Oryzias latipes: one gene and its partner. The protein of the gene in region 1 interacts with the protein of each later gene in a pairwise test. Links are inferred from orthologs where the notes say so. Each region holds a gene or a part of one and is shown in the gene's direction. Other genes may lie near its edges.

The links. The genes of interacting proteins can lie anywhere in the genome.
Region 2: the proteins of endothelial PAS domain-containing protein 1 (region 1) and ikbkg interact in a two-hybrid assay, tested with the Homo sapiens proteins (2 studies listed by BioGRID, with this or other methods). The link is inferred for Oryzias latipes from reciprocal best matches to the Homo sapiens genes EPAS1 and IKBKG.

What each region holds. Positions count from the first base shown.
Region 1 is NC_019873.2:14,302,199-14,309,592, forward strand, and holds part of endothelial PAS domain-containing protein 1, read left to right. Parts: intron 1-1,420; coding exon 1,421-1,568; intron 1,569-1,680; coding exon 1,681-1,889; intron 1,890-2,003; coding exon 2,004-2,221; intron 2,222-2,525; coding exon 2,526-2,636; intron 2,637-3,649; coding exon 3,650-4,152; intron 4,153-4,856; coding exon 4,857-4,950; intron 4,951-5,545; coding exon 5,546-5,633; intron 5,634-5,705; coding exon 5,706-5,882; intron 5,883-6,038; coding exon 6,039-6,190; 3' UTR 6,191-7,394.
Region 2 is NC_019865.2:4,851,536-4,855,470, reverse strand, and holds the start of ikbkg (NF-kappa-B essential modulator), read left to right. Parts: upstream 1-1,135; 5' UTR 1,136-1,485; intron 1,486-1,978; 5' UTR 1,979-1,980; coding exon 1,981-2,119; intron 2,120-3,692; coding exon 3,693-3,935. UniProt on the Homo sapiens protein: Regulatory subunit of the IKK core complex which phosphorylates inhibitors of NF-kappa-B thus leading to the dissociation of the inhibitor/NF-kappa-B complex and ultimately the degradation of the inhibitor.

The sequences.
Region 1 (7,394 bases):
TAGCAACCAAGACCCACCTATACAAGCTGTATTTAGAATGATTGCACTATTCAGACGTACATTCTAAAGATCCTGGGCTCCTAAACAGAACTTTTTTTTCAACCGTTGTCATGTTTCAAGGCTGCCTTGATTTGGTCTGAAACTGAAAAGCTTCATATTTATATTTTATTTTTTTATCTTTTTGGCTCCAAATCATCTGCGTCCAAAGACTTTAGATAAAGGACGCTCTATCTCCATCCCACACACACCCACGACCTGCTCTCACGGCCAACGTGACCAGCCTGCCAATCAGAACATGCTAAAGGATGTAGCTGCTGAGTGGAAAGCTGCCACAGCCTTTTCTCCAAAACTACTACGCAGTCACACACACGGGCGCACACACATTCTCAATGTCATTGGCCTAATGTACGATCTCTGACCAGTCCTGCTCTTTTCCCACGCCAGTTCTGAACTCTGGACTGGAGCCAGCGCATGTCCTCCTTGCAAAGTCAAACATCCAGCTTTTTCCTACTAACAAATGTTTGACTGATTGGAAATCCCTGATGGAAAACAATTTTTATTTGATCTCATTTGAAAAATGTTACATTTTATTAGTAGGAACATAACACTGTCCGAAATAGCAATAAGTTTAAACTTTGAGTGTAGATGATATTAGTGGAAGTGGTTATTAAAATATTTATACATTTTGTGGTAGAAACACCAAATTCAGCATGATTTTACATTTGGAACCCCTCTTTCAGAAAAGCACATTTGCCACAAGAAAACACAAGATTTCAAAGTGTATATATTATATACACATATAATAGTATTCTGTAGGTACCACTTTGAAGTTGAAATACTGCATTTTGTGCATTAACAGCCCATATTGCTGAGACTGAGCAATTAGACTGAGCAATTGAGTGAAATGACTCAATCCATTTACAACCTGGAAGAAAGTTCCAGCAAAACCAGGCAGAAAGAACATAAACCATGACTGGTTAAGGTCACAGAACAGAAGAAGACAGAGTAAAAGTACATCATCGTTAGCAGATCTTCCATATTTCTTCATGATTTATTCCCCTAAAACTGTTACAGATTTCGTTTGAAATGCATTACACCTACATGTCACAGGTTTTAAGCATTAGTTTTCTTCATTTGTTTGTTAGGACTCTTGGCAAAAACAGTCTTTAATGGATTTCATTTGCCAACAAAAAATAATACTTTATTTACTTTCTTTTTAAAATTCCAATAACTAGGCTTTTGATTTTTTAGCTAAATAAATCCAAACCCTTGTAGCCACTCCTTCCATCTCTTTTAAAGGTTATGAGATGGGACTAATTGTAAACTTAGCCAACACTATCTAACTGCAAACTTGAGTATCAGCAGGAAGCGCTTGGTGTCTCTTAATTTAACACATTGTCTGTTTTCATTGTGTCCACAGTGTGTAGCAAGGGTCAGGCAGTCAGCGGTCAGTATCGCATGCTGGCTAAGAAAGGCGGCTATGTGTGGGTGGAAACCCAGGGAACCGTCATTTATAACAGCCGAAACTCTCAGCCACAATGCATCGTCTGCATCAACTACGTCCTCAGGTGAGACCTGTCACTGCAGTGAGCTCAGGTCTTCCAAAGGTTTTAACCAAACTCTTCTACATGGTAAATATCACAAACTATGTTCTAATTTGCCTTTCTTGTCTCCCTGCAGTGACATTGAGGACAGGGCTGTGATATTCTCTTTGGAGCAGACAGAGTCTCTGTTCAAGCCGCAACACATGAACAGCTTCTTCAGCGCTGGAGGAGCAGGCATGAATGGGGAGCCAGGAGACTCCCTGTTCAGCACCCTAAAGGAGGAGCCAGAGGACCTTGCACAGCTGGCTCCAACACCTGGAGACACCATCATTTCTCTTGATTTTGGTAAGCCTTGTACTTTTTGAAAACTTATAGGGGCAACACTGTCCTGTGTTACATTCCTAAATATATTTTTTGAAGTTCTATTCAAAAGTTTTCCTTTCTTCTGACTCCTTGTAGGTCGATCTGAGTTTGAGGAGCCTCAACATCCATCATCATTCACACCGGCATCTGCTTCAGCCATGCCCCCGCTGGGACCTTTGTCCTGGGCAAGTGAGAGCCACAAACCTGGGTCCAATGCAGTTCCAGGGGAGTTGGCTACCATGGCCGGCGCATTCACCGTGCAGCAGAATAAGCCCCCGGGCAGTGCCACTCCGAGCCTGAGCAGCTGCTCCACGGTGAGGACTGCGACCCTGATTGTGTAGTTGAAAGGATTAATTAGTCAAGTGAGTCAGCCACTGGTTGATTGCGTTTCGTCCAGAATTATTCTCCCCGCGTTCAGTGAGGTCAGCAAAAGTGGGCAAAGTGTGTGAGAATATCGGGGGTGGATGCTTTGGATGAAACAGCCTGTTAGTGGTGAATGGCGCCTTTGTCAAAACTCATCTTTTGCTCTTTTCATTTATTCTCTCTTTCCCTTCTCATCTCCTCCTGCTCGACTTCTGCCTCAATCTGTTCAATTCATTTGTCAATGTTCGCCTGCAGCCCAGCAGCCCCGGTGATTACTACAGCTCAGTGGACAGCGACCTGAAGTTGGAGCTGACCGAGAAGCTTTTTGCTCTGGACACCGAGGGAAACAATTCTGCAAACACAGAGGTGTGTGAGGCTCTGGAATTAGAGCTGTCTGTCTCATTAGCTCTTCATAATAAAACCTTCCAATAATCAAATCATTTAGAGAATACAACTTTTGCACACAAAAAAATAATAATAATAAATACAAAAAAAGAAACATAGCTTGTTTTAGAATAATTCAGAATCTATTTTATCAAGACTAAATCCATGCAAAGTATGGGAATTATCAAAAGATTCCTGCACACTTTGCTTAGAATCATCATTTTGCAGATCATTCTTCTTGCGTCTGCAGCTTTTTTGATTAAGCTTTTCCAATTAGTGTCAAGTTAAGGAATCATTTTGCGCCACAAGCTGCATCCCAAACCCCAACAACAACAGACTAAACTCCCAACCGTTTTCATTCTTTCATCCAAACACAACCAGTGCTTTAAGGCTAAAGGGTTTTATTTGAACTCCCATCACCCTGCAACCCTTTCCTGCAAAGTGCATCAGGTTCATTCAGATATTTGCCAACTTTTGTGTTTAGCACCCCTACGGAGAAATCTCCTGGAAGCTCCTTGGCATCTTGGCATGGGCGTGTTTTAATTCCTTAAACTGTTCTCCTGAGTTTTTTCTTTCATTTTGTGAAGGGATCATTTTGACCATAACTCTTTTTGTCATCTGATATTTCTTAATTACATTTTGAACAGAGGAAATGGCGACTTTTGATATCGACTTATCTCTTGTAGTCATCGTTTTATGTGGTTTTAAGAGTTCCAGGCAGCTGACTATGAAGGTCATCACGTTCAGTGTTCATGTTCAAATCAAACCTAAATCCCCTTTATTATTATAACTAAATTTGAGTTTAAACTAAAAACAACAAAAAAAAATTAGTCTAACTCCATAAATTACATTTAAAATGACATTTTTAAATTATTTTTTTTCCAGGTTTCTATCTACATCTTTCTTTTTACTGATAACTTTTTGGGGAGATTCACTCATCAGTGCGACCAAACAGTGAAGAGCATAAAAGATAAATGTATCTCTTTATTTTTCAGAGAGATTTGTGTGATTTGGATCTGGAGACCTTGGCTCCTTATATCCCGATGGACGGAGAGGACTTCCAGCTGAATCCAATCATTCCTGAGCCTGAACCTCTGGACAACTCCGGAGGAGCAGGATCCATGGGCAACAACAGCAAACAGAACGTCCAGCAGAGCTTCAGTGACATTGCAAGCCTCTTCCAGCCGCTGACCTCTCCCCCTCCACTGCAAGGCTGCTATCGGCCTGAGCCACAACCATCCTGGGCCATCAGGGAGAGGAGAAGCTCTGGTCAGGGTACTGTGGAAGCCAGGGAGAGGTCATACATGATGGGCCGTATGGGGACTCCACCGTACCAGGCCCCAGCCAGCGGCCCACTGTCTTCCATGCAGTGGCCTCCTGATCCAATAATAACTTACCAGCAATCGACAAGGACTCCTAAGGCCTGTCTGATGGAGGATTTACCAGAAGAACGGCCGTCCTGCCAGCAAAATACATCGTATCTCATGCAGAAACCGAGGTAATGTAACTATGACAATATAAAATCAAAGAAGAAACTTTTAGTTTTATCTTTCATTATATGCTACATTTATCTTCTTAGAAGTTAGAATTTCAGTCCTCAGAGCTCTTTCAACAAGGAGCTAGGATGAGACTACTCCAAACATGTTTGCAAAAAAGAGTTTGAGTTAAATAAAGTGATTCATCTCACCGTTTTGTAAAACATGTCCGTTCAAATTCAGACAAAAACTACACAAAGCGTTGAAAAGAAACCAGACCAAATGAATGTGTGCAAACACATCCTTATGGTTTGATGTATTGGCTTTTTTTTCCCTTTACTTGAGTGATCCATAGATTCAGGTTAAGCAGGTGCAAGACGGAGAAAATGAGCTGGGAAAATCCAGTAGAGGTCTAAAATAACTTTCATAAACCTTTGGAAAACACAATTTAGCAAGTAATTTGATGATTCTGTTTTTAAAGATTAGGTGGGAGCCTTTCTCCTTGGAAGAAAACAGAAAAAAAAACAATGAAGGCTTTTCATGGCATTGCAGTTCTCAGAAATGTTGAAAGTTTTATCCACGCTAAGGAATGTTTAGGCGTTATCGGGCCCTTTGCAAGGCTTCTCACAAAGAATACAAATAGAAAGAACAATTATATGTGCGCTATTGTGTATATTCCCATTTTTATAGTTTTTCTACTATTTTCTTTCTCTTTTTTTTTACTCAGGTCAACGGAAAATTTTGTGCAAGCATACAAAGACATGAGTTCTAAAGCAGGCGTGGGCAGCAGTATCAAGCGGTCCTTTAACCAGATGACTGTGGTGAGTTTTTCCTATAATGATTAAAAAAAGTGATGTTTTCTGACATTTGTGCTCTGATGACACACCTTGCTGTCATTTTTGTAGTTTTTTTAATGCCTTTGAGAAAGAAAAAAAAGCACCAGAAGACTGATTTTGTTGGTCCTACCATCTGTTGAGTTTTTTTACCAAAACTCATCTTTATTAGTTAAAATGACTTCCTTTTAAACAAGTGAATTTTTACAAATGTTATATTTATTTAAACTACATTTAATTTTTTTATTTGAAAAAGTTGTTTGCAATTACAGTATTTTCTGACCGGATAAAAAGGCGCACTGCCATTGAACGGTCTATTTTGAGGCAAACCAAACTATAAGGGGCAGTAAGTCAGACAAAAGAGTCAAAGATAATCTGTCAATCATTTAGACTTTATTAACACCAAACACTTTGACAGTGCACTGTGTAGCTCTCAAAATTGCTTCAACATCAGTAAACACAACCGGAATTCATTCATATATACGCACTGTTGTTTTTTGAAGAAAAATTACATCTTTTAAGTGCATTCCATAGTGAAGAAAATAAAGGACAAGGGTATTTACTCAACAAAGAACTGTTTCAGGGTGAAATGAAGCCAGCAGAAGTTATATGGAAGAAGATGAGGGATGACAGCCGCATGGATCGTTCCCTCAGTGCAGGATCACTGACAGGTATTGTGGACTTTTGTTCATTTGACTGCCGTCTCACTTTGCTTCCTGTTACATCATATTGTCCTTTTACAGAGTCTGCGATGGGGACGGTAATGCCAGGCAGCATGTCTCCGTTTATATGCTCCCTGGAAAAACACAGGAAGTCTCAGTACACAGGGAGCGGGAGAAACGGAGCAAACAGAAAGACGTTTGCCCAAAAGAGCTGCAGTTACTCGGAGTACAACATGCAGTCTTCAAGCAAGTCAGAGGGTAAGCTCAAATTCCTCATTCGACCAAGAAATTAGAAACAAACTTCTATTAATCTCACAGCTTTTTCAAGGGTCAGTTTTCAAAAATAAGAATTTTTTTAAAGAATTTTAAGCACTTGTGTTTTATACATTGACAGTTTCTGTTGTTTCTTTTCAGGCATAGCAAGCCGTTTGCTGGGACCTTCATTCGAGCCCTCCTTCCTGCCGGAGTTGACTCGTTACGACTGCGAGGTCAACGTCCCGCTGCAGGGGAACCTGCACCTCCTCCAGGGCTGTGACCTCCTGCGCGCCCTGGACCAGGCCACCTAAAGCCCCTGCTCCCAACCCTGATATAGACCCGGACTTGCTCTCAGCCTTGAGTCTCGACACGCAGCCCGTGACAAAAGTCGTTCTTTACCTTCGTACCTTTGGGCCTCTCGAGAGCCCTGTATGCCTAGCTATCTGTAGACCGTGGTATTCATGACCAGATCCTGCCTTACGTAGCCCCCGTTTCCCGTCCCTTCTGTAGTTGCTTTGATAAACGTTCTCAACCTGCATTACAATCAGGGTTCAAGCTACTTATACTATTTTATCTCAGAACATGTTTATCCAGATGCAGGTTGACCAGAGTAGAGGAGCTGTCACATGCGACAAGCCGTGCACACCATATGCAGAATACATGGGTCACTAGGTGAGAAAATAAAGGTCAGTGCTGGATATGTGACAGATTACATAACACTACAGTCACCTGGGTCACACGTTGAAGAGTCCTGACACTCAGATGTTTGGGATTTAGTGAATATTTGTTCTGGAATAGATGCTGAGATTAACACGGTGCTTGTGGTGGGGAGATAGGCAATCTGCCTAAATCTCTGCACCCGCTGCACCTCAACCTCCAGTTGATTCCTGTTGAGGCTGTACAGTCTATGCAGTTCCTTTTGTCAACCGGCCGAAGCATTCAGTTCAGAAAACAAACAAAAAACGACACTGTCTCCATACTAACAGAAAAACTGTGTTCTTTAATGTCATATATATTTTACCAGCATCTAGTGAACGCAGCCTTGTTTCCTAGTTTCAGGCAGAGTCTCAAGCCAGAGCTGGGTATCATGAATTGCCTCTGAAAGGAAGCCATCTGTAGAAAAACCCTCGAGATAAAAAAAAAATTATCCGATTCCCAAAGAGGACAAAAATGGTGCAATATGGAAGACTGGAGCACTTTAAAGAGTTGCTAAATGTGACGAGTGGGCCAATAGAAATAATTACTTGAACTACTTTGACGCTAGTTAAAATTTCACTTCTTTTTTTTTCTTTCTGTGACTAATGTAGTTTTTAATTTGGATCATTAGATGCTAGAAATGGAAGCCATAATAATTGAATTGTACCTACGATTTCTTATTTCACACAACACTGCAGCTTCATTGGAGCACAAACATGTTACATTTATATCGTTAACCCATATATTATAATGTAGAGGATTTATTACTTATTACTTCACTATTGTTTAATTGTTCATAGAAAACTCTTGTCTTCTTCT
Region 2 (3,935 bases), on another chromosome or scaffold:
GGAATTTAGATTCCCTGCGCTTTACCTGACAGGCAACTTTTGACGCGGCCTAATTTTGGTGCCCAATTTTTTTTTAAAATTCCTCCAAGATGTAAACACTTCTTTATGGCTGTCTCTTCAGTTCAAACTGCTAATGTACGGTGTGCTGCTGCAAGCTAACATGTTAAATAATACAATATTGTATAAACAGATGCAAATTCTGATTATTTTGTTTTCAACATCAAATTTAACATTCTGTATACAGCACTTTTCCTACTAGAGTAACACAAAGTGCTTTTCTGACTTCAAACAATTAAAACTGAAATTATAAAACATAGAGTGCCCTCAACCCTCCCGACTGCCCACTCCCTATCTAGATGAATCCATTTAAATCCAGTTTTCCTAAAGAACTGAATCCTGTGGGAACATGAGCTGGATCCCCACATTGTTGTGTTTGTGTTACTCCCCATGTGTCATTAGCACACGGCTGGCTTTTGGTGCAGGTCAGAGGCGGCAGCTCATGTGAGAACAGAAAAACATTAGTATTGATTTTAAAAATTGGCTATTTTTACTAATTGGGGCTTTTTCAAAGTGCATACTATCAAATTATTGTCTCAGTCATGGGTCCAAAGCGCTCCAGGTTCAAGTTTTTAATCCCGTTGTCGATTCGTGGCAGACCCTCTTCATTTTATCTGTTCTGTTGTCTGGTTCCCTTCATTATTGAAGTTTTAGGATGTTTATTGCATTGATTTATTCAAGCAGTTTCTTTCATCAAGTGTCTGTTTCTTTGTGTGTGTCAACCAGTCATCCCTGATACTTGAACAAGTGTTGCAGTTTCTGCAATTTGCTTCTTCTTTGATTTTTCTGCTTTTTCTTTTTTTTTGGTATCATCACCCCCCCCCCCTAAACCTGACTTTGACTTTGCTGAGTTTGCAATGTTTTGTGATCCCACTCAACTTTCACTGTTTTATTATTTTTTTATATTTCACTGTAATATATTTGCAAGCTTTATCAATTAAAATAAAGTAGAAAATCTTATATTTATAAAACCTAATTCAGCAGGAAAACTTTACACACTTGTTCGTGCTTAAAATAAGATACTCAAACCGTTCCCCTTTCAGATCTACAAACCGGAGAACCGACACCTGAAAGGCAAAACTCAGGGTTAAAATATTCGAGGAATTTTCCGAGCTAACAACAGTCGCCTCGGCTCGGACGAAAACCCCGTAGCGAACGTGAAGCAAAGGAAGAAAAGGCCTCCTACATCCACACAGAATGTGCCTTTAAGGTTCGATAGTCTGCCAGCGTGAAGCTGTGTTTATGACAGCCGAGGAGCGAGGCCGCTTTCCCAGCCCTTCACTGCCGCATTAGCCTAGCTAGCTAAAAATTAGCCAAAATAGTGCTTCTGGACTCGTCGAGCTTCCTTCCTGGCGCAGGTTTGAGGGGGGGACTGTAAAAACTCTGGATGTGTGTTATTCTGGACAACAAAGGGAAAAAGAAGTTAAGGTAAGAGAGATCCTGTCCTTGTTTTGTTAAAATAAACTAGTATGTATGCGTCCAAACTGTTCAGAGACAGTCACGGATGTCCAAAAACCAAAAAAACATCAGTCTAGTTTGGAATTAGGTCGTTGATTTTATTTATTTTTTCTGTTAAAATCCAACTGCGTTCTCTTTACTTTCATTTTTAAAGCTATTTTAAACCCAATGTGTCTTTTATCCCGGCCTAAGGTGTGATGACGATGACGTAATGTTTTCCTTACCTGCAGTCATGTTCATGGATGACGTCCACATGTTTTTTTTTTTTTTTTTTTAGCAGAGAGGCTGAAGCCTTTAAGGAGCAGATCTGCTTCATATTTTCAACAAAAATGAGTAAAAGAATCAAAATGAAAGTGAAAGTCTGGTCCTGGTGCACATGTCAGGGCTCAAACCTGTTTCCACGCTTACGGACTGGATGTTGACTTTGACAGGTGTGTGATGATAATCCACTGTAATCCTGCAGGAATGGTCCAGCCGCAGCCCGACGGCCCCATGCAGTGGGACATGTCAGGGGAGGACAGTGGCGGGGCCCTCAGGGTCCCACCGGAGCTTGCTGGTCATGAGGTGGTGTCCAGATTACTGTGTGACAACCAGCAGCTCAGAGGTATCGCACCCACGGCTTCGCTCACACAACTTTTAACGAGGATTCTTCATCTGACCCTGTTTACGCTTTCTTTTCTTTTCAATTTCTCATCCATGACAGGAACATATTTTTTTTTTTTTTTAAAGTTAAATACATTTTAGGTCCGGCGGGGTGGAGCTCGCTTATAATCAGAGGCTGACTTCTTAAAACATTGTGGTATATATATTTTAGTTTCTGCTTTAGTTAACTCAGCTTTTTAACTGACATATTTTATACACGTAAAAGCAGAAAATAAGAGAAGCTTAATTCAAAACAAATCTATATGTGGTTTAACCATCTTTTACACTATTTTAGTTATTTACCATATTTGCCTGTTTTGTAAACGGAAAAAAATCAGAAAAACAGAAATAATTAATTATTTAGCTCCTTCATAGTTTGGACCTCTCCCTCTGGATCGGCTGCTCTTCAGCCACTGCGGCTCTGGATGGGAACCTGCATCACTGCTTAGCTGTGGTGGAGCGGTCCCCGCCTGTGATGCTGCATTTGGCTGGTTATGCGGCTGTTCACAGAAAGGGAGGTTCCAATTATTAGCGTTTCCAACATATTGTCTTCATACTTCTTTTTTATTATTATTTTTCTTTTTATGTTAATTGTTGTTTTATGTTATTTATTTTGTTTTGTTTTAATGTAAATCACTTTGTGTTATACTTTTATATGAAAAGTGCTTTATAATTAAAGTTTGATTGATTTATAGACCCACTCTGATGAAAATTAAAAATTTTTTTTTTTTTTTTTTTTTTTATCATCTTCTCAGATGTCTTAGAAAATTTAGCTTGCAGGGTATTTCTTTATTCAAATTGTTGTGAATCAGGAGTGTGTGGTGAAATGCTGTTTGACAAAGAGCTTATTTGTGATGTAGAAAATATGATTGGCGGGCCACAAACTTCCTGCTCCGCTCCATTCTGATGCATCCACTTGCAGACAAATAGATCCATGTGCGTCTTTGTTTTCCTCGTCTGAGCTGGAATCTGGATCTAAACTGGACGGATGGATAGCTCCAATATTTCTCAGCATTTTTGTCACTCCGGTAGTGTTAGGTTGGGGGTGTGAGGGGCTGTAAGCTAGCAGGAAAACGGGTAAACAGGTGAGTGACGGGAAGTTGGGGCAGGCTTACTCCACGTCAACAGTCCCGCCCACAACTCAGAGGTCAATTTTTGATGAATCGCTGCCACTCTGCAGGAATTATGTCCTTGAAAATGGCAGTCTTTTTAGATTATGGCTAAAAGTGGCCGCATTATATCAAAAAGACCACTGAGAACGTGTTTAAAAATAGATCAAAAGATGATCGGAGTGGGTCTTTAAAGGATATTTTTGGTTAAAATGGAGTGACGGATACTTCAAGCTGCCCTGAACGCACACAGGAAGTTGGTTTCATGTCTAGCAGATGTAAATACACATTCAGATGTGGTAAATGCTGTCTCTTCTATCTGTGAATAGTATCACAGCATAAGAACAGAGTCAGGGCAGCAAAGTTTGGATAAACTTCTGTGTGAGACCGAAAGACGAAAGTCGTACTTTATGTTTGCTCCTCCAGAGGCACTGCGGAGAAGCAACCAAGCTCTCCGCCTGCGCTGTGAAGAGATGGAGGGATGGCAGCAAAGAACCAGAGACGAGCGAGAGTTTTTGAGCTGTCGCTTCCAGGAGGCCAGGGCCCTCGTGGAGAGGCTGGCGCAGGAAAACCACTCGCTGAAGGTCACGGCGAACGGACCAGGCTCCTCCCCGTCTTCCGGTCTGTCCTGCAGCTCAAGTCAGACTGAAGACCTGCAGGGACGCCCGG